Linked DNA regions of Rattus norvegicus. The protein of the gene in region 1 interacts with the protein of each later gene in a pairwise test. Links are inferred from orthologs where the notes say so. Each region holds a gene or a part of one and is shown in the gene's direction. Other genes may lie near its edges. The genes, in order: Nefl, Usp2, Ndn, Tex11, Kifc3 and Skil.

Region 1 (4,081 bases):
CAACGGCAGTATGAAAACGTTCCACCCATGTGCGTTTTCGTACCCACTCTGCTACCTGGGTATCCTGAAGGAAGTTGGTAGCTTCCTAAGGGCACCCGTTACCTGTGAATTTCAGCAGGCTGTTTCAGCAGGCTCCACGCTGAGTTCTCTTCCGGAAGACCACACCCAGAGCTGGTAGCACTTTGCAGCATTCTCTCTCTCTCTCTCTCTCTCTCTCTCTCTCTCTCTCCCTCCCTCACTCCCTCACTCCCTTCCTCCCTCTCTCCTTCCCTCCCTCTCTCTCCATCCAACCTACATGGCTTGTCAAAACCATCAGATTAGGCTACCACACAGGTGTTAAAAAGGGGAAGAGGCTTTCGATGCGGTGGAGGTAGCATACAGGCACCCTGAAGTTCTCCCGCAGCAGAGCGCATCTTTTGCCTTGCAAATCTTTGCCTGGTTAGTTTCAACCCGTCCTAAGCATTCCAGACTTCATTTCCCATAAAGAAAGGGGAAATTCTATGGAAGGCGCCAGACAAATTAGCTGCTGTAAAGGTTTTAAAATGTCAAAATGAACACCCGCTATCCTGCGGTTCCAAGGGTGTGTGTAGCGGTACCCGTCCCCTATGTATTGAGAAGCAGATTATACGGAAAGAAATAAAAAAGAAAAAATAAAAGAAGGCAGGAGAAAGGGGGGTGAATTCAAGAAAATGTCAGAAAATAGCTACAAAGGCATGCAAAACTTTTCCTGCAGGAATGTCGCAAGGGCGAAACCTTAAACTATTGTCAGTAACCTAACCACCCTGGCCTTACAACCATGCTCCTTAAATAAGAATCACGGTGCTTGAGAGGGTCCCTGAGGCAGAAAGGGCGAGCCAGGGGCGGACTGGGGTAGGGTGAGGGTGTCTTTGTGACATTAGATGTTAAAAGTTGATGTGTCAGTAGGGACCTATTATTTGGAAATTTTAAGGGTCCTAGTGAGGCGGGTTTTAGGTATTGACAGGCAGGATGGGTCGGGGGAGTAGGAAAGGAATGAGCAGGGAAGTTATGGGGGTTTCAGAGAAAGTAGGGGGCCTCAGAGAAAAGCGGCCAGGCGGGAGCCGCAGTCCGCTAGCCTCCTGTCGCTCGCCCCCGCCTTTGCTCTTGCGCAGAATCCTCCCCTTGGCTGCAGCAGCACGCTGCCCCCACTGGCCTGCGCAACGCGATCGATCACAGTCTGCGTCAGAGTCCCGGCGTATAAATAGAGGTGGCAGGACAGCCCAGAGCCGCACACAGCCATCCATCCTTCCCTTTCCCTCTTCTCCCCGGTTCTTCTCTCTAGGTCCCCTATCTCCGCCCCGGGCCTGAGGGGCGCACCGACCGCCACCATGAGTTCGTTCAGCTACGAGCCGTACTTTTCGACCTCCTACAAGCGGCGCTACGTGGAGACGCCCCGGGTGCACATCTCCAGCGTGCGCAGCGGCTACAGCACGGCGCGCTCTGCGTACTCCAGCTACTCCGCGCCCGTCTCCTCCTCTCTGTCGGTGCGCCGCAGCTACTCATCCAGCTCCGGCTCTTTGATGCCCAGCCTGGAGAACCTCGATCTGAGCCAGGTAGCCGCCATCAGCAACGACCTCAAGTCTATCCGCACACAGGAGAAGGCACAGCTGCAGGACCTCAACGATCGCTTCGCCAGCTTCATCGAGCGCGTGCACGAGCTGGAGCAGCAGAACAAGGTCCTGGAAGCCGAGCTGTTGGTGCTGCGCCAGAAGCACTCAGAGCCTTCCCGCTTCCGCGCCCTGTATGAGCAGGAGATCCGTGATCTGCGACTGGCGGCCGAAGACGCCACTAACGAGAAGCAGGCGCTGCAGGGCGAGCGCGAGGGGCTGGAGGAGACTCTGCGCAACCTGCAGGCTCGCTACGAGGAGGAGGTGCTGAGCCGCGAGGACGCCGAGGGCCGGCTGATGGAAGCCCGCAAAGGCGCGGATGAGGCTGCGCTCGCCCGCGCCGAGCTGGAGAAGCGCATCGACAGCCTGATGGACGAGATAGCCTTCCTGAAAAAGGTGCACGAGGAAGAGATCGCCGAGCTGCAGGCTCAGATCCAGTATGCTCAGATCTCCGTGGAGATGGACGTGTCCTCCAAGCCCGACCTCTCCGCCGCTCTCAAGGACATCCGCGCTCAGTACGAGAAGCTGGCCGCCAAGAATATGCAGAATGCCGAAGAGTGGTTCAAGAGCCGCTTCACGGTGCTAACCGAGAGCGCCGCCAAGAACACCGACGCAGTGCGCGCTGCCAAGGACGAGGTGTCGGAAAGCCGCCGCCTACTTAAGGCTAAGACCCTGGAGATCGAAGCCTGCCGGGGTATGAACGAAGCTCTAGAGAAGCAGCTGCAGGAGCTGGAGGACAAGCAGAATGCAGACATCAGCGCCATGCAGGTTTGGCAGGGTTTAAGCTCAGTGGGAGCGGGGAGGTCCACACTCGGGGTGGGGGTGCAAGGTATATCCAGAGAGTGAACGCTAGGGGGTCCTAGAGCACAGAGCAGCTATCCTAGGGATTGGCTTCAGAGATGTGGAAAAGATGGGGCATTTGGAGGGGGCGGGGCGCGACTGCTGCTTGGGAATTGCTTGTTCTGGTTGAATCAGTGTTCTTAGGGGTGAGTTGGGAGGAATGGGCGGAGGGCGTTGAAGTTGGGCGTTGCCACCAGTCTAATGCCTACTCTCTACTGACAACCCTTAATTGACTCCAAGTTACCCTCAGGACTTCCTGGATCTCCTGGCTAATAAATATGGCGGCTAGCTCTCTCTCACCCAGCCTTGGGATAGTTTTGTTTTTAACAGGGACACAAGAATACAGTCACAATATTTTATATCAATTAATCACTGATATCCATTTAAAAAAATAAGTTCTTCATATTTGGGGGAGAAGAAATAGAGTTGTGGAAAGCATTTTAGACAAATATACAATTTTATTTTTATTTATATATTTATTTAGACAAACATATATTCACATGCACACACACACACACACATTCCCCTCCCCAAATGTGACCTGGCTAAAAGAAGTATGACTAATAATAATAGTAATAATAATAATAATAATAATAATTATAAATTGGGTAGTTTTAAAAGACAGTTTACCATAATCAATAGATTGAGGACAATTTTCAAAATTGCTCATATCAGTCTACTCCCCTCCTCTTCTTCCTCTTCTCTTACATCACTAGACTGAACATTTTAGGCCACCCCCCCTATTTCTTGTAGGTGTACACTTTGTAGTTACTAAGTGCCAGGACTTAGCACGAATACTACAGTAAAACAAATGCAGTAGAGATTTGTGTTTTGAATTTTGAAAACGATCTTCCAACAGGACACAATCAACAAACTGGAGAATGAGCTGCGAAGCACGAAGAGCGAGATGGCCAGGTACCTGAAGGAGTACCAGGACCTCCTCAATGTCAAGATGGCATTGGACATTGAGATTGCAGCTTACAGGTAACATCAGAATGGTTTGGGCAGTGGGCATGGCAGCTCAGGGCGGAGCAGATGACCCAGAGTCAGTGCAGAGTTATATTGAATCACAGTGTTTTAGATTAGTCCTGCTTTGGTGTTCCTCCAAGACGGTACAAATGTGCAAGGAGTTAACCCCGATGTAACATAAGTCTTGTTCTTAGCATTCATATTTTAAATCTAGTAGGTCTTTCTGGGCGGGCTCTATCATGAGCTCCTTATTAAATCTTGATGGTACCTAACCCTGTTTGTCCTTGTATTTGCCTTTGACCTTGGTTGTGGGGAAAAATAATGAATGTGTGCTTAGAGCAAGTCATGAACACATCCATTGTTGGTCTAACTGTACCCTTCATTCCCTTCCCCACCAGGAAACTCTTGGAAGGCGAAGAAACCAGGCTCAGTTTCACCAGCGTGGGTAGCATAACCAGCGGCTACTCTCAGAGCTCGCAGGTCTTTGGCCGTTCTGCTTACAGTGGCTTGCAGAGCAGCTCCTACTTGATGTCTGCTCGAGCATTCCCAGCCTACTATACCAGCCACGTCCAGGAAGAGCAGTCAGAGGTGGAGGAGACCATTGAGGCTACGAAAGCTGAGGAGGCCAAGGATGAGCCCCCCTCTGA
Region 2 (3,500 bases), on another chromosome or scaffold:
GAGGTAGGGCATCTGGTCTACATAGTGACTTTGAGGCTAGCCAGGGATGTATGGTGAGACCCCATGTCTAAGAAAGGAAGGAAGAAATTGCCAAGTGTTTTGGAGCTGAGGAAATTTAAGATAAGAACATGACTCCTCACACACACACACACACACACACACACACACACACACACACACACAAAGCAGAGGGTCCTAATGGTGTTTGGGGGGGGGGGGCTCACCTTTCTGCCCTCAAGCCAATAGAAGCGTTGGGACTAGAGTACTAACCATGGAGGGTGAATACACTTCCCACCTGGAAGCAGGAGTGCCTCTGTGGACTGGTGACCCCTCCCTTTCCCCACCCTCACTAGTGCTGGGATAAGTACCTGAGTTGAGAGCCCGCCTTGGTGGATGTGGACATGCTCACCGGTGGTAGGATGCTTTCTGTCTCTACAGCCTGTTTAGACCGATGTCGTCTCGGGCACAGGGGGTAAGGATTAGTAAAGAGCTACCGAAACCAGGTGTGAGTGGGCATCGTGTGTGGGCACACCTCGATGGGTGCCTCCAAGCGGGCAACATGAAGAAGATTGCTGTGGTGCTTTCTTGCTGGGCTCTGGGGAAAAGGGAGACTTTTAACATTTCATCCAAATCTCTGATAAGGTCTTTGACCCCAGGGACTATCTCTGTGGTAGCCCACTTATAGGGCCCATCACAGGTGTCAGCATTTTGCTGTTTTGCCATTGCCAGGGGTCAGACCCAAGACCTTACAAATGCTAGCCAAGCCGTCTACTGCCGAACTAGGACACCCAGTGGTGGGACTCACAGTTTATTTGGGGGCCAAGTCAGGTTAGCACTGCAGGCCAGGGCAGTGGAGGATGTTACACCCTGTATGCTGCCCCGGGCTTTCCCTCCAGCGAAAGGTTTAAAGTATGTCTCTTCTGGGTACCTTTTCTCTACCTGCTAGAGTCTGAGCTGACAACTGACCAAGAGAGGGATCCTATTACTTGTGGGAGGGGCCTGGCTCTGCTTGAGAAAAGCCCTCCCTCGGCCTGCTTCTCCCCACCTCCCTTCAAGCTGACAGTCTCCTGAGCTTTGAGCCGCTGACAGCCTCATAGGCTGTCAGCACATGGCATGAGTAATTTTAGCTGAGTTATTTCAGGCTCCTGTTCTGATCAGGGTTGAGCCGGCCCCACGCATGCCCCAGCCAGTGTTGCTCCAGAGTTGCCTGTTCCGAGGCCCCCTTTCCAAGAGGGGGTGGCAGACTCACCACAAACTCAGCTACTGCTTCTTTAACCCTTTGAGCCTGAAGGTTTTCTGATTCTCAGGAGGTGTGCCCAGGATTACCTAAGAGACCTTGACAAATAACACTGAGTGCCTGCAGTCTCACACCTGTTCTCTCTCCAACCCCCTCACCAGCCTCCACAGTAGAGACAAGAGTGGCACCTTCAGCCAGGTGCTTCCTCAGCTTGGTGCCAGTGGCTAGTCCGGGATGTTGAAACCTGAGACAGGCAGGGAGGATCCTCCCTCCCGCCTGGGCTCAGCCCTTAGAGGCTGAGTTCAGCTGCAAAGAATTCCACCTGTCTCTGGCAAGTGAGAGTGGCAGGCAGCTTGAGTTTTCCCCAGCTGAAGATGGAAACTCAGTGATTTGTCATTTAAACTTCTTAAAGTGCAAATCATGGTGGTTCCTTTATATATTGAACATCTGGTATAAATGTAGGTCATTTGAAATAGTACCTGGATTTGAGCTATGAAACCTCTTTGTTTTTTTCTTTCTTTCTTTTTTTTTTTTTTTTTTTTGGTTCTTTTTTTTCCGGAGCTGGGGACCGAACCCAGGGCCTTGCGCTTCCTAGGCAAGCGCTCTACCACTGAGCTAAATCCCCAACCCCTGTTTTTTTCATATAGCTGAGGCTAGCCTTTGGGTTCACTATGTATGATGTAGCTGAGGCTGGCTTTGAATTCCTAATTGTCCTGACTCTGCTTCCCAGGTGCTGGGATTGCAGACCTTCATCACCATGTCTGACCTGGACTTTCTTTCAACAAGGACTTGACTGTATTCCTGAAATTATGAGCCCCTAGCCTCTAGTTCTAATCTTTAGTCTCCAGTGTAGTAGAAAATATAAAGAAACCAGGTGTAGTAGCTCATACCTGTAACCCCAGCACTCAGGAGGCAGAGGCAGGAGGATTGCCACACGTTCACTAGGCTACCTAGTGAGACCCTCTCTCAAAACAACAAAAAGATGGGGAAATACATAAAAACCGCAAAGCCCCGAAGAAAAGTTTGTGTGTTGAAAATAGGCACTCCTCCATGCTTTTTTTCTCCAAGGCCCAGACCGAGGCTGAAAGAAAAGTCTGGGTGAGAACTGTACAGACCCAGGGCTGTACCCTCACCTTCATGTGACTTGTTTTTTGCTTACAGAATTCAAAGAGTGCCCAGGGTCTGGCTGGTCTTCGAAACCTTGGGAACACGGTAAGTTCTTCCCAACTCAGCTCTTTCCTGAAGCCCTCCCCTCCTCTCCTGACTGGGATAATCTAGTAGAGGCCTCCCTGACTCCACAAGGTAGCTTCCTATCCTAGAGGGCAGTCAGCACCTGCCCTTCCTGGCTGGTGTTTCAGTGAATAGCAGGACTCTGTCTCACCCGCCCCCAGCAGGAAGCACAGCTAAAAGGAAGTTGCCCTTGTCACTGCGAGCTTGCTGCTCTCCTGGACCTTCCTCCTGGTTCCCATCACTCCCTCCCCACTGCTGACCAGTGTGTGTGCCCACACCCCTTTGTACACCTTAATAGGAAATAGCCAATTACATGGCCTTGCCACATACTGGGGCCTTGCCTCACTCTGCCCTGCCTTCACTCAGGAAGGAGGAACCCGGAGCTGTGAGTGAGTTCATTTTTGGGTAGAAGAAACAGAGAACCTTTAGATGCAGGTAATAGAGGTGCTGTGTGAGGGTCTGTACCCCATCACAGTGTTGTTAGTCAGCTTCCCCTACGATAGATACACGAGAGAAGCACACCTAAAGAAGACTGAGTTTGTATGGTTGGGCTTGTGACAAGGCAGACAGCACATGTATAGCAAAGCAAAACCATTTTGTGGCCAGGATACAAGGGAAAGGAAGAGAGTGGGGTCCTTCAGGCTTCTTCAGGGCAAGCCCCCGATACCTGAAAGCCTCCCACTGGGCCCCATCTCTTCCAAGTTGCCACCACATCCCAATAGTGCCATTAGTTGGGAATACACAGCTTAGGAAAAACCCAGACCCGTGCACGCGCACTTATTGCCGGATGATCTCTCTTAGTGCTTCATGAACTCAATTCTTCAGTGTCTGAGCAACACCCGCGAGTTGAGAGATTACTGCCTCCAGAGGCTGTACATGCGGGACCTCGGCCATACCAGCAGTGCACACACAGCTCTCATGGAAGGTGAGGAGCCCCGTATGGGCGTGGATCCTGCTGCCCTTCTCAGCTCTTCCTGGTCCACCAGGCTGGACTGATGTTGTGTGGTAGACACCCCACCCCCACCCCTCCATT
Region 3 (3,239 bases), on another chromosome or scaffold:
GTTCAGGTTACCTCCTCTCAATCTACATTTTTTATTTATGAACACCAATATGCTGCCTCTCATTTATGAAAGAATGTTAGATATTATCCAAAAGAATTGCATTTGAAAGATATTGGGAAAGATTTGGACGTGCGCCCAACATGGAATTAGTCATTTGCTAATGACGTAATGCAAGACGTGGAAGATTTCTTATAAACATGAAGATGTAACAGCAGTAAGCAGGGGGAAAGGGCACTGGGAGTGCATGAAAAATACACTATCATAAAATGTGTATTAATAAACATGTTGATCATTTCCCACTAGATTCTTAAGGGAATTTCTAAATGAAATCAAAGTGACCTAATAGAAATGCAGAGCCCAAATCCATAGTTATTAAAATAATTGTAAGCCAACAAACTAAGAATCCAACGATGAATGAATACATATAAATAATTTTATATATCTGTTTTGTTCATGTGGGACCTGGGGTTTAAACTCAGGTTCATGCTTGAACTGCAACAGCTCTTGCCCACTGAACCAAGTCCCATTTTAATTAAAATTTTAGACGCACATCAATTATGTTATATGAATCTACTTCTAAAACATTAAATTCTCACATGGATTGATTTCCAGTGTCTGTAACTATACTTTGCATTCTTCCTTGTTTGATACTGCTCAGATTTGTAACGATTTATCTCTATTAATAATTTCTCAACATTCTGATATTAGACAACACATCATCATCATCATCATCATCATCATCAGGTATGACTTTCCAAGAAAAGGTTATTTTTGTCTCTCCTATTCTTTTGTGGAAAACTCAAATTCAAGAATTAGTCTTCTTCCTCCAGGACCTTCACACTTAACTCAGTGTGTCGGAACTTAACTTCACCATCTCAGCTATATCTTTCTCCTTCAACTTGTTTCTTTCCCCACTATCACCCATCTCTGTCCCATACAGGAGACCAGGAGATCCTTTTCATAATACTAGTGGTACCCTCCCTTAGACCCCAGTGGTTGGGCTTTGCTACTTCGCTCCTATCCAGCCCTACCACCCTTCTGGCTTCCCACTACGCATGCGCAATATAGCGTCTGCCCCGCCCGGCCCGCTGCTGCGGAAGGCGCAGTGCTCAGTAAAGCGCACTTCCTCTGCTAGTATCCACTGAGGCAGTGCAGGCTCCGAGAGCTCCGAGTCGCAGCGGTCCTGCTCTGATCAAAAGACGCAGAATGTCGGAACAAAGTAAGGACCTGAGCGACCCTAACTTTGCCGCTGAGGACCCCGACACTGAGATGCAGGTCAGCGATGCTGTTCCGGTGGGGGTCCCTCCTCCCGCTCCTCTGGCCGCGAACCTCTCAGGGCCATCGTGCGCTCCGGAAGGCCCTATGGCAGCCCCACAGGCCTCGCCACCACCTGCAGAACGGTTTGAAGAGGTTGACCCTAAGATCCTGCAGCAGGCCGCAGAAGAGGGCCGCGCCCACCAGCCCCAGAGCCCAGCCCGGCCGATCCCAGCACCGCCGGCCCCTGCCCAGCTGGTGCAGAAGGCGCACGAGCTCATGTGGTACGTGTTGGTCAAGGACCAGAAGAGGATGGTCCTCTGGTTTCCAGACATGGTGAAAGAGGTCATGGGCAGCTACAAGAAGTGGTGCAGAAGCATCCTCAGGCGCACCAGCGTCATCCTCGCCAGAGTTTTCGGGCTGCACCTGAGGCTGACCAATCTCCACACCATGGAGTTCGCCCTGGTCAAAGCACTCAGCCCAGAAGAGCTGGACAGAGTCGCGCTGAACAACCGTATGCCCATGACAGGTCTCCTGCTCATGATCCTGAGTCTCATCTATGTGAAGGGCCGCGGGGCCAGAGAGGGTGCGGTCTGGAATGTGCTGCGCATCCTGGGGCTGAGGCCCTGGAAGAAGCACTCCACCTTCGGAGATGTGAGAAAGATTATCACCGAGGAGTTCGTCCAGCAGAATTACCTGAAGTACCAGCGTGTGCCCCACATCGAGCCTCCCGAGTACGAGTTCTTCTGGGGCCCCAGAGCTAACCGTGAAATCACCAAGATGCAGATCATGGAGTTCCTGGCCAGAGTCTTTAAGAAGGATCCCCAGGCTTGGCCTTCCCGCTACAGAGAGGCTCTGGAGCAGGCCAGAGCTCTGCGGGAGGCTAATCTTGTCGCCCAGGCCCCCCGCAGCAGTGTCTCTGAGGACTAAAATGTCCAGGAGCACATTGATAGTTTCTGACCCATACTAGGGCTGTGTAAGGGTGGGGTTGGACATTAGAGTATCCCAGATTCATAGTGCAGTATTTCATGTATAGTTTTTAAGTTTTCCATCCAGTGCTTTTTTTATCTTGTAATGCAATGTATTCAGTTGTGTACTCGTGTAGTGTTTAAAATTGATGCATGTGTGTTTTATAAGTGAGCAAGTTGGTACTTTCACTTCTGTGCTTTCTTGGATTTTTGTACAAGAGATGTGCTGTGCTAAACTTGTGAAATACATTGAGGTGTTCTGTATCTTGTTCTTTGAATGGGACTGATGGTCCGTATCGACAAAGAAGGCCCTGGAGAGTTAGCAGGACTTAACAACAACACAGACCTGACCAAGAGAAAGGTCAGGGTCCCTCTCCATATGACTCCAACTGGCACAGGAAACATCCATGTGGAATGGACTGATTTGAACTGGACTGTTTTCAGTTTAAGCACTTAGCACACTTTGCAAAACATGTATCCAACCCCACCATAAATAAACTTTAAAATGAGCATTAAATATACCGTGAAATAATTTCTTTGTTTGGGGGGGAGGCATTTATTTTGGTGAAAGGGGGAATGGGAGTGGGTAGGGATGAGAAAGATTCTCCCCGTGTACAACATGAGCAAGTATACTTCTAACAGAGTGGGAAAACACCACTCATAACCACTCAGAAGTTTTTTGAAAATTGTGGTGCTTCAAGAAATTGGTCACATTAAAGGCGTGATAACAAAAAAAGGCATGTTCACATAACGTGGGAATAATAACAGGAATTATGTAGGGACTGTCCCTTTTCTGTTTTGTTTTGTTTTGTTTTTTTGTTTTAAATAGTCTTTGGTGGGCACTTTAACAGAATGAAATATTGCTACTAAACCCTCGTTGTGCATTTTCTTCTTTATTTTATCCTCCCACCAGCCATAAGAAGTAAGGAATGACTGTATCAGCACAAAGCAAGAAAAATGAAAGGATGCTGGTAATGAAATACCCTAAAAATCATAGACCTTATACTGGAGTCTTGA
Region 4 (3,500 bases), on another chromosome or scaffold:
TATAGATATTAAAATGTTGAAAGTTTATCAATGGAGACTAGGATGGCCTTCAAACTAAGTGAAATCAATTTTTCCTTATGGGAAAACTTGTCCAGTTAGGATAGGATAGGAGAGAGGATTAGTGTTGCAGTAACAGAAAATGTTAAACTTTCCCTTTCCTTTAGGAGATTTCTCAGGTGATGACTGTGGGGTAATGCTTCTGCTGTATGAATTTGAAGTTAAAACCAAAACCAATGATCCATCCCTGCACAGCTTTCTGCAATCAGTTTGGAAGATGCCTGGTTTAGAAAGCAGAACACTTGAAATAATGGCATGTAAGTGCTCTATTTATACCTGTGCAAGGCCAGTGCCCATTTAGATCCTACTGTTTTCTCTCTTCTGACCTTGAGATGATTTTCATAGTATATTGTTTCTCACTCTCTGATGCATTCTTAAACTACTTTGAATTAAAATCATTTATATAGTTATCTTTTTCACTCTACAAGATTGTAATCTCAGGATCATGAGCAATAATTACTTTTATGTGTTATACTAATAAATCTTAGTGAAGAGCATTGCTCATAATAGGTGCTCAAATGAAGTCTATATGTAGAATTTAATTACGTAATGGCATGATAGGGGAAGCTCAAACTTTGGAAAGTTAGTTTTATGTAGGTAGCTAAAAATGATAAATAGCTACATTGATGATCAAAGATGACTCAGCCTTAGTAATTTACTAAAATGTATGGAGAAATTTGGAAAGTTTATGAATTTCTCTCTCTCTCTCTCTTTCTCTCTCTCTGTGTGTGTGTGTGTGTGTGTGTGTGTGTGTGTGTGTGTATGGTTGTGTGTGTGTGTTTACATGTGTGAAGGTTAGCTGAAAACTTACAGAAGGCAGTTCTCTTTGCAGCATATAGGCCCCAGGGATTGAAATCTGGTCATCAGGCTAGGTAGCAAGTACCTTTTTATACACTGAGCCACCTCACTAGCCCCTAGAAATTTGGAAATATTTTAACACGGTGCAATTTTCAAAATCTTTAAGCTATGCTATAGGACTTATGAGCCTCAAAGCCATTTAGGGAATTTACTGCTGGAAATACCCTGATTATCTTCCCCTTTGCCTGTAACTTTCCTTAAGAGCTTGAGCATGGGTAGTGAAGGTATTAGGGAGCCTCCAGTATACTACAATTGCCTTGGGTTTCTTAGAACTGGACCAATGAGGCATACTCTATGACTACCACTCCTTATATAGTGGGACTGCTCTATAGGCTTCTTGACCGCATCTGGAAGGCCTAGACACGTCTAGACTCTCTAAGGCAGCAATACCAAAGCCTATTTTTCACATCAGGAAGAAGCAGCAACAAGAAAACAAGTATATGGCAGATTGTTGTCTGGCTTTGATTAGCAGCTTTTTATTGATCTGCTTCTATTTCTTAGCTTGCCTTTCCTTCACTGTGGTTCATAATATAGTTGCATCACCTGTAAGACTGTGCATGGTTACAGAAACAGTAGATTTTCCGTCACTCATTGTTGAAGAATGAATGGAACCTGAAAGAAATGAGAGGCTCTCTCAAAGCTTCTATAGAGTCATGATTTTATCAAATTTGGTGTGTGTGTGTGTGTGTGTGTGTGTGTGTGTGTGTGTGTGAGAGAGAGAGAGAGAGAGAGAGAGAGAGAGAGAGAGAGAATCTTTTTATTCCATTAGAGAATGCATGTTCTAGTCCTGCTTGAAAACTGTAATGAATAAGATAACGTGGCATTCAGAAGCTTTTTCCTTCTCTTCTTACAGCACTAGCTATGGATAAACCTGCACACTATCCTACTATTGCACAGAAGGCCTTGAAAAAACTTTTATTGATCTATAGAAGGAAAGTGCCAATTAATGTTTTGAGATACAGGTTAGTAAATATAAGTTGACACCTAAATTAAGTTTTGTGGAAGCCAAAAAACACAAAAACAAAACAAAATCAACAACAAAAACCCCTCTAGTCAATATCCCATTAGTCACCCACTATAATCAACTGAGCTAACATAGAAGATTATAGGAAAATTATCCTGTAAAGTTCTCTGTAGTGAAAATTATATTGCACACTGGAGAATAGTAAGCAAGACTTCTGTTCCCAGGAGAGAAAAAGAAGGGTACATCCTGCTTTCCTTTATTGTTCTAGTCATATAATAAAATAGTACTATGTACTCCTTCCTTCATGTCATTTACTAAGTATCCCACATGATCATAAATTGGTAGCTACCACTCAACTTAAACATTTTTCCTATATTTTTCTTCTGTTTTTTCCCTAGTACTTTTTTTTCTTTTTTCGGAGCTGAGGACTGAACCCAGGGCCTTGTGCTTGCTAGGCAAGCGCTCTACCACTAAGCTAAATCCCCAACCCCTCCCCTAGTACTTTTAAGTATCAATAATGTTATATGGTTTTGCTCTTTCAGGAAAAACTCATTGTAGTCTTTCTGTTCTGAGAAGTAAGATTTTTTTTGTCAATTTAAATCCAATTTTAATTCCTTTGTCCCTTTGAAGAGGTAGCATTATTGTTTAAATGCCCATAAATTGAATCAGCTCATAAAATATGAAAATGACATGATTGAACTGGCAAAATGGTTCAGCAGATGAAGGTCCCTGCTGCCAAATCTAATGATCTGAGTTCAATCTCAAGGACCCACGTAGCGGAAGGAGAGAACCAACTCTGGAGGGTTGTCCCCTGACCTCTGTTCAAGCGTGTGTATGTGTGTGTGTGTGTGTGTGTGTGTGTGTGTGTGTGTGTGTGTGTGTGTGTGGTGCACACACACAAATAAAAACAATGAACAATTCCTTCATGAGGGATATAAACTTGTCTAAAATGACAACCAACCACAAACATCAAAGGAAGGACTAATCAGCCCCTTTTGCATCTTTAAAATTCTGTCTTCTAAGGTTCCAAGATCAAAATGAAAGACAGAGCAGAGGAAGAGCTCTCAGTGTGAGATGAGATTCAGAGTTGACTTCTCTTAACCAGGCCAGTAATTTCTTTCCTTACAGATGACTGGTCTCTTTTTACTTTTCAGTGTATGCATGCACAACTTGATTGACCTTCTGGTGTCAGATAGAAGATGGAATATGGCACTGTATCCCCTAAAAGAAGTTTGGGGCCATTTAAAAAGTGCTCTGAGTCTCATTCGCCAAACCGTAAGTCAAAGAGCAGGCAATAGTAAAGTTGCAGACTATTGGAAGGAACCAGAGTGTCTTGCATATTTGTTTTCATATAGAATGATATTTTCTGATAGGAGTTTTATGATAAATTTGTATTACAATGTAGATATCCACTTCAAAGTATCTCCGAGTTATAAAATATAAATAGTTAATGGTAAGAATTTTCTAGTATAAGCTTACTAACTAAGGTTTGTGTCAGAAAAACAAGACCAGTAAGCATCTTGAATTGTTTTATATTTTTGGAACCTAATATAATTCTTTCCATTATGATTATATTAATTTTGTGAAAAGGCTTATTATTATTCCCACCATATCTCAGAGG
Region 5 (3,500 bases), on another chromosome or scaffold:
CTGTAGCTGTCTTCAGATACACCAGAAGAGGGCATTGGATCTCTTTACAGATGGTTGTGAGCCACCATGTGGTTGCTGGGAATTGAACTCAGGACCTCTGGAAGAGCAGTCGGGTGCTCTTAACCACTGAGCCATCTCTCCAGCCCTCTGCTGTGCTTTTGAGAGATCGAGAATGAGCATGGAGAGCCACTTCTGAGTAAGCCTCTATTCTTTCCCAGGAAATCGCCTGAGTGCAGGCCAAATTTCCTACTTTGAGGGGACTCAGGAAAAATTATTTTCTTAAGTCTTGGTTTAGTCAGTTCTGTCCTCTAGAAACTTTTGCTAAAGTGACTTCCCCAGAGGACAACCCGGAGGTCCTCTGCAAACCCATTTTGCTGTATTCTTCAGTCCTCACCCTAGCCCCAATGGTGCGCTTGTTGTGATGGCTGCCTTCCTCCTCCAGGCAGACCTCCACTGTCCTGCTGATCAGCCACTACTTTGCTTGTAGGTGGGCGGCTCCTTGGCATCGGGAGGTGCTCAAGCCTGTCCGGGTCACCAGGCCCAGACCCCGTGGTACATAGGACCGTGGAGGCCATGTCCCAGCTTCAGGAGGAGCTGGTAGTCCTTCGGGAGAGGCTGGCCCTCCATGACAGTGACCGGCAAGCCACAACCACCCAGCTGCAGAACCAGGTACCTGGGGAGGCAGGGATGAGCAGAGGCCACTCACTGCCCTCTGGAGCAGGTCAGAGGACATTGTCAGGGTACCTAGACTCCACCAGAAGCCAGATGGTGACCCTTTCCTGGTCTAGGAAGATGCTGCAGGGCGAGGAGGTTCAAACTTGGCTTCTTACTGCAACAAGGGCCTTTAGCACCTCAGTATCTTCCCAGCCAAAAGGTTTTCCTCTCTAATTGATTAAATCTACTTGCTTATTAAGGGGGGGAGTTGAAAGTGAACTGCCCAGACTCTCTGGTCTCCCTAGCCCCACTCGCTCATCACCTGTAAGGAGGACGCCCAACCTACCTGACGCCTCAGGCCTCAGATGACTTACGGATTCAAACCGGTACCTAGCCTCTGCTTGGGGTTTTTTGGTGAGCTTTTTGACTATGTGTTTATTACAGTGTTCTTAAGGGATGATCCCTGTAGCTCTGTACCCATTAGCTGTGCTCTGTAGGGTCCAACCCTGTGGAGACATGGCCAGCCTCCTGGGCCTGGAGCTGTGAGTAAACCCTGACTGTCTGGGAGCACTTACTAGTCCTGGGCTAGATAACTACCAGTCTGCGCCTCTTTTCCTCATCTGCAGACAGATAACAGGATCCAGATGTGCTAGCACCTGTCGGGGCAGATGTGGCTCTGGAACTCTGGAAATAGCTGTCTGAGGCTGTCTTGGCTGTGAGGCTGTAGGGAATGTTGTCAGTCCTGTGAGCCCCATTTTCTGATTTCTAACCAGGCTGATGACTATCAGATGGGCTGGCTGTAAGAGTGGACAGGAAGATGGTTATGAACTATAAAGTGTGGTGTCCTGTAGGGGGCTGTCGCTGGACCTCACTGTGGGTTTTGTTGTTTTGTTTGTCGGCTGTTGGTTTTTCTGAGATAAGCTCCCCGATCTAGCCTAGTGTGTCTTGGAACTCACTAACTAGACCTGTCTATCTTGCTGTCACCATGAACGTCACAGTCGATAGTAGCCACCTTCTGGGCACGGTGAGTAATACTGCTACCAACACCGAAGTTCCTGCTTTCAGTTCTTTGGTGTGTATGCCCAGAATTGGGATTACAGAATAGTGTAGGGCTTCGTTCTTTGTTCTTGTTTATTTAATGTTGAGACGTGGCTCTCTTTTCCTTGCTTTTTTTTTCCCCCTTCATTTTTTAAAAGACAGGACCTCACCGTGTGGCTCTGGTTGTCCTGGAACTCCCTGTGTAGACCAGGCTAGCCTCAAGCTTTCAGACTCCTAGAGACCTACCTCTGCCTTCCAGTGCTGGGATTAAAGGTGTGCGCCACATGGCCAGGGTCTTCATTGTTTTAGCCCAGGCAGTTTGATGTGGTTGAGTTGTAGGTGTTTTCTGGATGGTAACCCTTCATTCTCAGTAACTGGTGAGCACTTCCTTCACACTCGGTGTTGTCTTCACTCGCTCGATGGCTTTGGGTTCAGGGGTGATAGATGAAGCTCTCTACCTGTGATGCTATTTCTTTTTTTTTTTTTTTAAAGAGTTATTTATTTAATGTATATGGATACACTGTAGCTGTCTTCAGACATACCAGAAGAGGGCATCAGATCCCATTACAGATGGTTGTGAGCCACCATGTGGTTGTTGGGATTTGAACTCAGGACCTCTGGAAGAGCAGTCAGTGCTCTTAACCACTGAGCCATCTCTCCAGCCCGTGATGCTATTTTCTTATGTGTCATTTTTTACTTTTATTATTTATGTGTGTGTGTGTGTTGCCTGCGCATGTCTGTGCCACTGCACGTTATATCTGCAGAGGCCAGAAGAGGGCATCAGATCCCTCAGGACTGGAGTACAGACACACACAGACACAGACACACACACACACATACCATACACACAATACACACACCATACACACAATACACATACAAACACCACACACCACACACAATAGACACACCACACACACCACACACACTAGACATACCACACGCGCACACACACACACACCATACAATAGACACACCATACACACTAGACATACCACATATACACCACATACATACACACCACACAATACACACACCACACATACACACACACACACCACACCACACACACACACACACATACACACACCACAATAGACACACCATACACACAACACACAATAGACACACCATACACACAATACACATACCCCCCCACACACACACACACGCACGCACGCCACAATGTGGTTGCTAGGAATCAAACCCAAATCTTTTGAAAGAGCAGCCAGTGCTTTTAATTTCTACATCATGTCTCCCACCCCTATACCTTTGTTTTTTTTTTTTTTTTTTTTTTGAGTTGAAGAATACAGAAGTTAATTTTTGTAAAGAGCACTTAACTTTTTGTCTTTTTAACTGTTTGTGCTTTAGGGGCCATATCAAAAAAATCCACTGCCAAATTCAGTGTCACGACGTTTTTCTCTCTAAGAGTTTTACCATTGATCCCTTGTGCTTGGGTCTTCAGTCCATTTGCTCTTCTCTCTGCGTGTTACTCGGCGGTGTGGGTGAGGGCCCAGCTTCATTACTTGACATGTGGAGACACAGTTCAAACACCAGTTGTCAGTATTATTCTTTGCCATTGCATGGTCTTTGCACACTGAAAAATCATTAGGACACATATGTGAGGGTCACTCTGCCCCCCCCCCCCCCACGGCTTCCCTGTTATCCTCATGGCTGCCTTTCTGCCTGAGCCGCACTGCTCTGATTGCTGTGGCCCTGAAGTCAAGGTACAGACTTCCACCTTCGTTTTTCCTGTCCAAGACTGGTCTGTTTGGCATCCTTTCAAAATCTCTTCAGAAAACGCCGTT
Region 6 (4,095 bases), on another chromosome or scaffold:
AGTTGAATATTCGAGCTATCCTGGGTACGTTGGCTAGGAAGTCCCCTCATCCACCCCCGCCGGCGGTTCGAGGTGGCAGCCGAAAGTGGTTATCTTCCCCCACCTCTTACCGTCTCTGGAAAAAAAAAAAGAAAAAGAAAAAAGAAAAAAAAAAAAAAAAAAGGAAAAGCCCGAAAACCCCAACCAAAGTGCTTAGTGAATTAGAACCGGTCACTTTATGGAGGACGAGAGCAGCTGGGGCAGCAAGGTCTGCCCCGGCGGTGCTGAAACCTCCGCCTCCCGGGCGATGGCGGCCCGGGAGGCGACCGGGTGAGGCCACCCCAGCGCGGCCAGGCGGGGCTGATCGCCAGCAGCTGGCAGGGCGGCCGCGGCGGGAGGCCCCACGGGGGCGAGAGGCCCCGCGACGTCTGCGCGCCGGCGGGGGGGGGGAGAGCTGGGGGAGGGAGCGCGGGGGGAGCACGGGGGCAGGTGGCAGCGCTGAACGGGGAGGGTGGCAGCGCGGGGGCGTCTGCGCGGCGGGCTCAGCCCGGGGGTCGCGGCGGGGAGCCACCCGCAGGCTACCTCCGGGGCGGGGCCAGGCGGCCAGCTGCGGCCGCGGGGGTGGGGGGCTGTTGGCCGAGTCTGACCTCGGGCGCGGCCAGCTGCCGGGGTCGCGCACAGTGCAGCCCGCCGCGCCCTACCCCCTCTCCGCCTTCTCACCCCCGCCTTGCCGCGCGGCGGCCCAGCGGCCAGGGCGCCCCCAGGTCTGGCCCGTCACCACACGGCGGCGGGCGTGGCGGGGGCGGCCCCAGACAGCCGGCTGGGCGACTCGAGGAAGGAAGGAGGGCGGCGGGGGTGGGGCCGAGGGAACATCCTGTCTGCGCCGGGCACCGCAGACAGTGCCGTGCGCCAGCCGCCCAGACGGCGCGCCGGGCCAGCCAGCAGCGCGGGGCACGCGCGGGAGGGGGCGGGGGAGCGGGAGACCGGCGCACGCGCGTGCGCGGCGGAGGCACCAGGCGCGCGCCCCGGCCAGGGCCGGAGAGGCGCGCGCAGCCTGAAGCGCGCAGACCGCGAGGAGCCACAATAGGGCAGACGGCGCGCGCGCTCGAGGGACTGGCTGGCGCGGGGCCGCGCGGCGCCGCTGGCTTAGTTCCCTCCCCTCCCCCGCCCGCCGCCCTCGCTGTCCCCCGGGCGGCCGGAGACGGCGGCGGCGTCTGCGGGAAGCCGTGTCTCCGCAGTGACGTGGGCGGGCCGCGGGCCGGGTGACGTCAGAGGCTGTGTGTAGCGATGTGTGTGGGGTTCGGAGCGGCGCCGGCACAGCGAAGGCGGCGGGCGAGCGACGGCGACGGCGACGGCGGGCACAGGTGCGGCCGCAGGTCGCGAGGGGACGTGAGGGGCGTGCGGCCTCTGGGGGCGCTGAGGCGGCGGCGGGGGGGTTATGGGGAGGCCACAGAGCCCGTGGGGCTGTCCGGGCGCCGAGGGCCTGAGTGGGGCGTCCGGGATGCGTGGGGTCCCGGGCGGGGTCGAGGGCACAGGGCGCGCGGCGGGGGTCCCACGGGTGTACAGGCCTCGCAGATTCTAGGACGGGTCGGCTGGGAGGGGATGGCGGTGCACTTGACCCGAGCCGCCGGGACCCGGGAGACCTGGACACCGGTCATCGCCGCCATCCCCCGGCCGTCTGCGCTCGGCGGGGATGCCTCGGGCTGGCCCCATCTCTGAGCGTCCAGCGACGCAGGCTTCCGGGCTTGGCGCCCAACCTGCCTGCGCCCCTCTGGGTGTTACGGCTCAGGGTGGGTCAGTGGTGGGGAGGCGCAGCCCTGGGGCGCAGAGGTAACCCCAGAGAACTTCCCGCGGACCGAGTGCGTGGGGGATTTCCACCGGCGGCCCCCGCAGTGGGGCGATGTGGGGAGGGCACTTAGGGTGATCCCGGTCACAGAGGTGGGGGTTGGGAGGACTCCTACTTCCTCTGCCCCCTCTCACCTCACCAGACGTCGGGAGTCCTCTGCTTCCCGGTCCTTCGGGTTGATGATGAGTGGGTGTCTCTGCGTGTGCGCAGGGCTGCGGGGGCGCCCCTGGTCTAGGTCATGCCTCCTGCCCTTTTCCTTGGCTCGCCTTGGCTGAGGTGTCCCTGTAGTGGCGAAAGTCACAGTACGGTGGCTAGGTGGCTTTCGTCCGTAATTCTCTGGGTTTGTGTTAACATAAATTGCTGGGAGTTTAGAAGCAAAGGTTTTTATTTATCGGCTTTTATTGGGTTTTCTCCAGGGAGGGAAGTGGATGAATACTCTTTTTCGCCACTCTGCCTCCATTTGCATTCTTTGTGAGGTCTGTCTGCCTTGTGCTTTTTGTCCCGGATTAGTCTTGCTAAAGGATGGAGATTTCCAGGCATGGAGTCTTACAGCTTTTGGCTTCCATTAAGCAAATTCGCTAACCTTTTAAAGGGAAAGTTTTTCTTCTTCTTCAATTTAAAAAGATAGTATATATTGACTAGATGAATTAATCTGCTTGAGACTTAATTACATATGGTAGGTATATTAACATGTATCTTTTGCGGGGTGGGGGGAGAGCAGAAACTACAGGGTTCTTTTTTCTGAAGAGAAAGGATTACTTTTTAAAATTTAAATGGCATGCATAGTTGAGAAAGCCTCTGCTACTGCGTTTTGGTTATCCGTATTCTAAATTTGTGTACTCTTCCTTGTTTGGAGAGATATTATTTAATGCTCCTGTTACCCACGGTCTGGACTGCTTCCTATTTAGATGAAGTTTCTTTTAGATAACTGGTGTTAGGTTGGAAGAAACCACCCAAGTGTTACCTTTGGCAAAGTGAACTGAGTTTAAGATTAAGAAACTGGTTTTAAACAGACCCTTTGGCCTCTGGAGCTAATTCAAATGTAACTCTCCCCACCCCTTTCTCTTCCAGATCAATTAAAAGAAGAATGAACTGTAATCCCTGAAGATAAACTGGGCAGCTTTTTTACTTAGTGTATGTATATTGCTAATTATAAAAGTTCAGGTGGAGCCAGGCTCCTGCTGTGTGGAGATTTAGACAAGTCTTCAGTTTGTCAGCACAGAGCCACAGACCACCATTTTCAGTGAGGATACCTGCCTCTTCTTTTTTGGTGTTCTTGGCAAAAACTAAAACCATTGCATCATTGTAACTCGTGTTTGGGTGTAGTTTCAGGATACAGTCATGGCATAAACTTTCCACATGCTTTGCTTAAAGAACAAAACCAACCAAACTCAACCACTATACCAAACTTTGGACTTCTTGAACTGAGGAATTAGCTTTATTTTAACATAAATAGCTGAAGTGCTCAAGAAAACAAGACTTTTCTCAGGGGTGTGCTGACAATTATACCCTTTGTTATTAGAAGCGAATTGAGAAGTTTTGTAGTATTTTCAGTTACATCCTGAGAAACGGCTGAACCGAAACAGAGTTGTACAATCTATTGAGCAAGAAAATTCATCTTTGGAAACTAAACATTTCTAAGTGAGTCACAAGTATTTGTATACGTTGCCTTTTTCTCTTCAAATTAGGAACTGAGAACAACATGCCAATTGAAGACTTAATTATTTAAAAACACCGGTGTGGCCATGGAAAACCTGCAGTCTAATTTCTCCTTAGTTCAGGGTTCAAATAAAAAGCTGAGCGGGATGGAGGATGATGGCAGTCCTCCCGTGAAAAAAATGATGACAGACATTCATGCCAATGGGAAAACGCTGACCCAGGTGAAGAAGGAGCATTTGGACGACTACGGAGATGCGTCAGTGGAACCAGATGGCGAGCACGCCAAGCGCAACTGTCCTTCTCTACCTGAAACTTTAAATTTAAACCCCAGTCTGAAACACACACTGGCACAATTCCATTTAAGTAGTCAGAGCTCTTTGGGTGGACCAGCAGCTTTTTCTGCTCGATATTCCCAAGAAAGCATGTCACCGACTGTGTTCCTGCCTCTTCCGTCTCCTCAGGTTCTTCCTGGTCCTCTTCTTATTCCTTCTGATAGCTCCACAGAGCTCACTCAGACTGTTTTGGAAGGGGAGTCTATTTCTTGTTTTCAAGTCGGAGGAGAAAAGAGACTGTGTTTGCCCCAAGTCTTAAATTCTGTTCTCCGAGAATTT

What was found.
Region 2: the proteins of Nefl (region 1) and Usp2 interact in binary tests that used the Homo sapiens proteins (3 or more experiments, as listed by UniProt). The two-hybrid records come from large-scale screens. The link is inferred for Rattus norvegicus from reciprocal best matches to the Homo sapiens genes NEFL and USP2.
Region 3: the proteins of Nefl (region 1) and Ndn interact in binary tests that used the Homo sapiens proteins (3 or more experiments, as listed by UniProt). The link is inferred for Rattus norvegicus from reciprocal best matches to the Homo sapiens genes NEFL and NDN.
Region 4: the proteins of Nefl (region 1) and Tex11 interact in a two-hybrid assay, tested with the Homo sapiens proteins (2 studies listed by BioGRID and IntAct). The two-hybrid records come from large-scale screens. The link is inferred for Rattus norvegicus from reciprocal best matches to the Homo sapiens genes NEFL and TEX11.
Region 5: the proteins of Nefl (region 1) and Kifc3 interact in binary tests that used the Homo sapiens proteins (3 or more experiments, as listed by UniProt). The two-hybrid records come from large-scale screens. The link is inferred for Rattus norvegicus from reciprocal best matches to the Homo sapiens genes NEFL and KIFC3.
Region 6: the proteins of Nefl (region 1) and Skil interact in binary tests that used the Homo sapiens proteins (3 or more experiments, as listed by UniProt). The link is inferred for Rattus norvegicus from reciprocal best matches to the Homo sapiens genes NEFL and SKIL.

What each region holds. Positions count from the first base shown.
Region 1 is NC_086033.1:46,476,049-46,480,129, forward strand, and holds the start of Nefl (neurofilament light polypeptide), read left to right. Parts: upstream 1-1,281; 5' UTR 1,282-1,346; coding exon 1,347-2,393; intron 2,394-3,324; coding exon 3,325-3,449; intron 3,450-3,832; coding exon 3,833-4,081. UniProt on the Homo sapiens protein: Neurofilaments usually contain three intermediate filament proteins: NEFL, NEFM, and NEFH which are involved in the maintenance of neuronal caliber.
Region 2 is NC_086026.1:53,327,870-53,331,369, forward strand, and holds part of Usp2 (ubiquitin carboxyl-terminal hydrolase 2), read left to right. Parts: intron 1-353; exon of another isoform or gene 354-451; coding exon of another isoform or gene 452-472; intron 473-2,398; coding exon 2,399-2,449; intron 2,450-3,268; coding exon 3,269-3,392; intron 3,393-3,500. UniProt on the Homo sapiens protein: Hydrolase that deubiquitinates polyubiquitinated target proteins such as MDM2, MDM4 and CCND1. Isoform 1 and isoform 4 possess both ubiquitin-specific peptidase and isopeptidase activities.
Region 3 is NC_086019.1:125,259,920-125,263,158, forward strand, and holds Ndn (necdin), read left to right. Parts: upstream 1-1,139; 5' UTR 1,140-1,206; coding exon 1,207-2,184; 3' UTR 2,185-2,739; downstream 2,740-3,239. UniProt on the Homo sapiens protein: Growth suppressor that facilitates the entry of the cell into cell cycle arrest.
Region 4 is NC_086039.1:69,999,045-70,002,544, reverse strand, and holds part of Tex11 (testis-expressed protein 11), read left to right. Parts: intron 1-164; coding exon 165-314; intron 315-1,768; coding exon 1,769-1,877; intron 1,878-3,033; coding exon 3,034-3,154; intron 3,155-3,500. UniProt on the Homo sapiens protein: Regulator of crossing-over during meiosis. Involved in initiation and/or maintenance of chromosome synapsis and formation of crossovers.
Region 5 is NC_086037.1:9,907,659-9,911,158, forward strand, and holds part of Kifc3 (kinesin-like protein KIFC3), read left to right. Parts: exon of another isoform or gene 1-487; coding exon 488-669; intron 670-3,500. UniProt on the Homo sapiens protein: Minus-end microtubule-dependent motor protein. Involved in apically targeted transport. Required for zonula adherens maintenance.
Region 6 is NC_086020.1:114,200,773-114,204,867, reverse strand, and holds the start of Skil (ski-like protein), read left to right. Parts: upstream 1-1,295; 5' UTR 1,296-1,343; intron 1,344-2,896; 5' UTR 2,897-3,570; coding exon 3,571-4,095. UniProt on the Homo sapiens protein: May have regulatory role in cell division or differentiation in response to extracellular signals.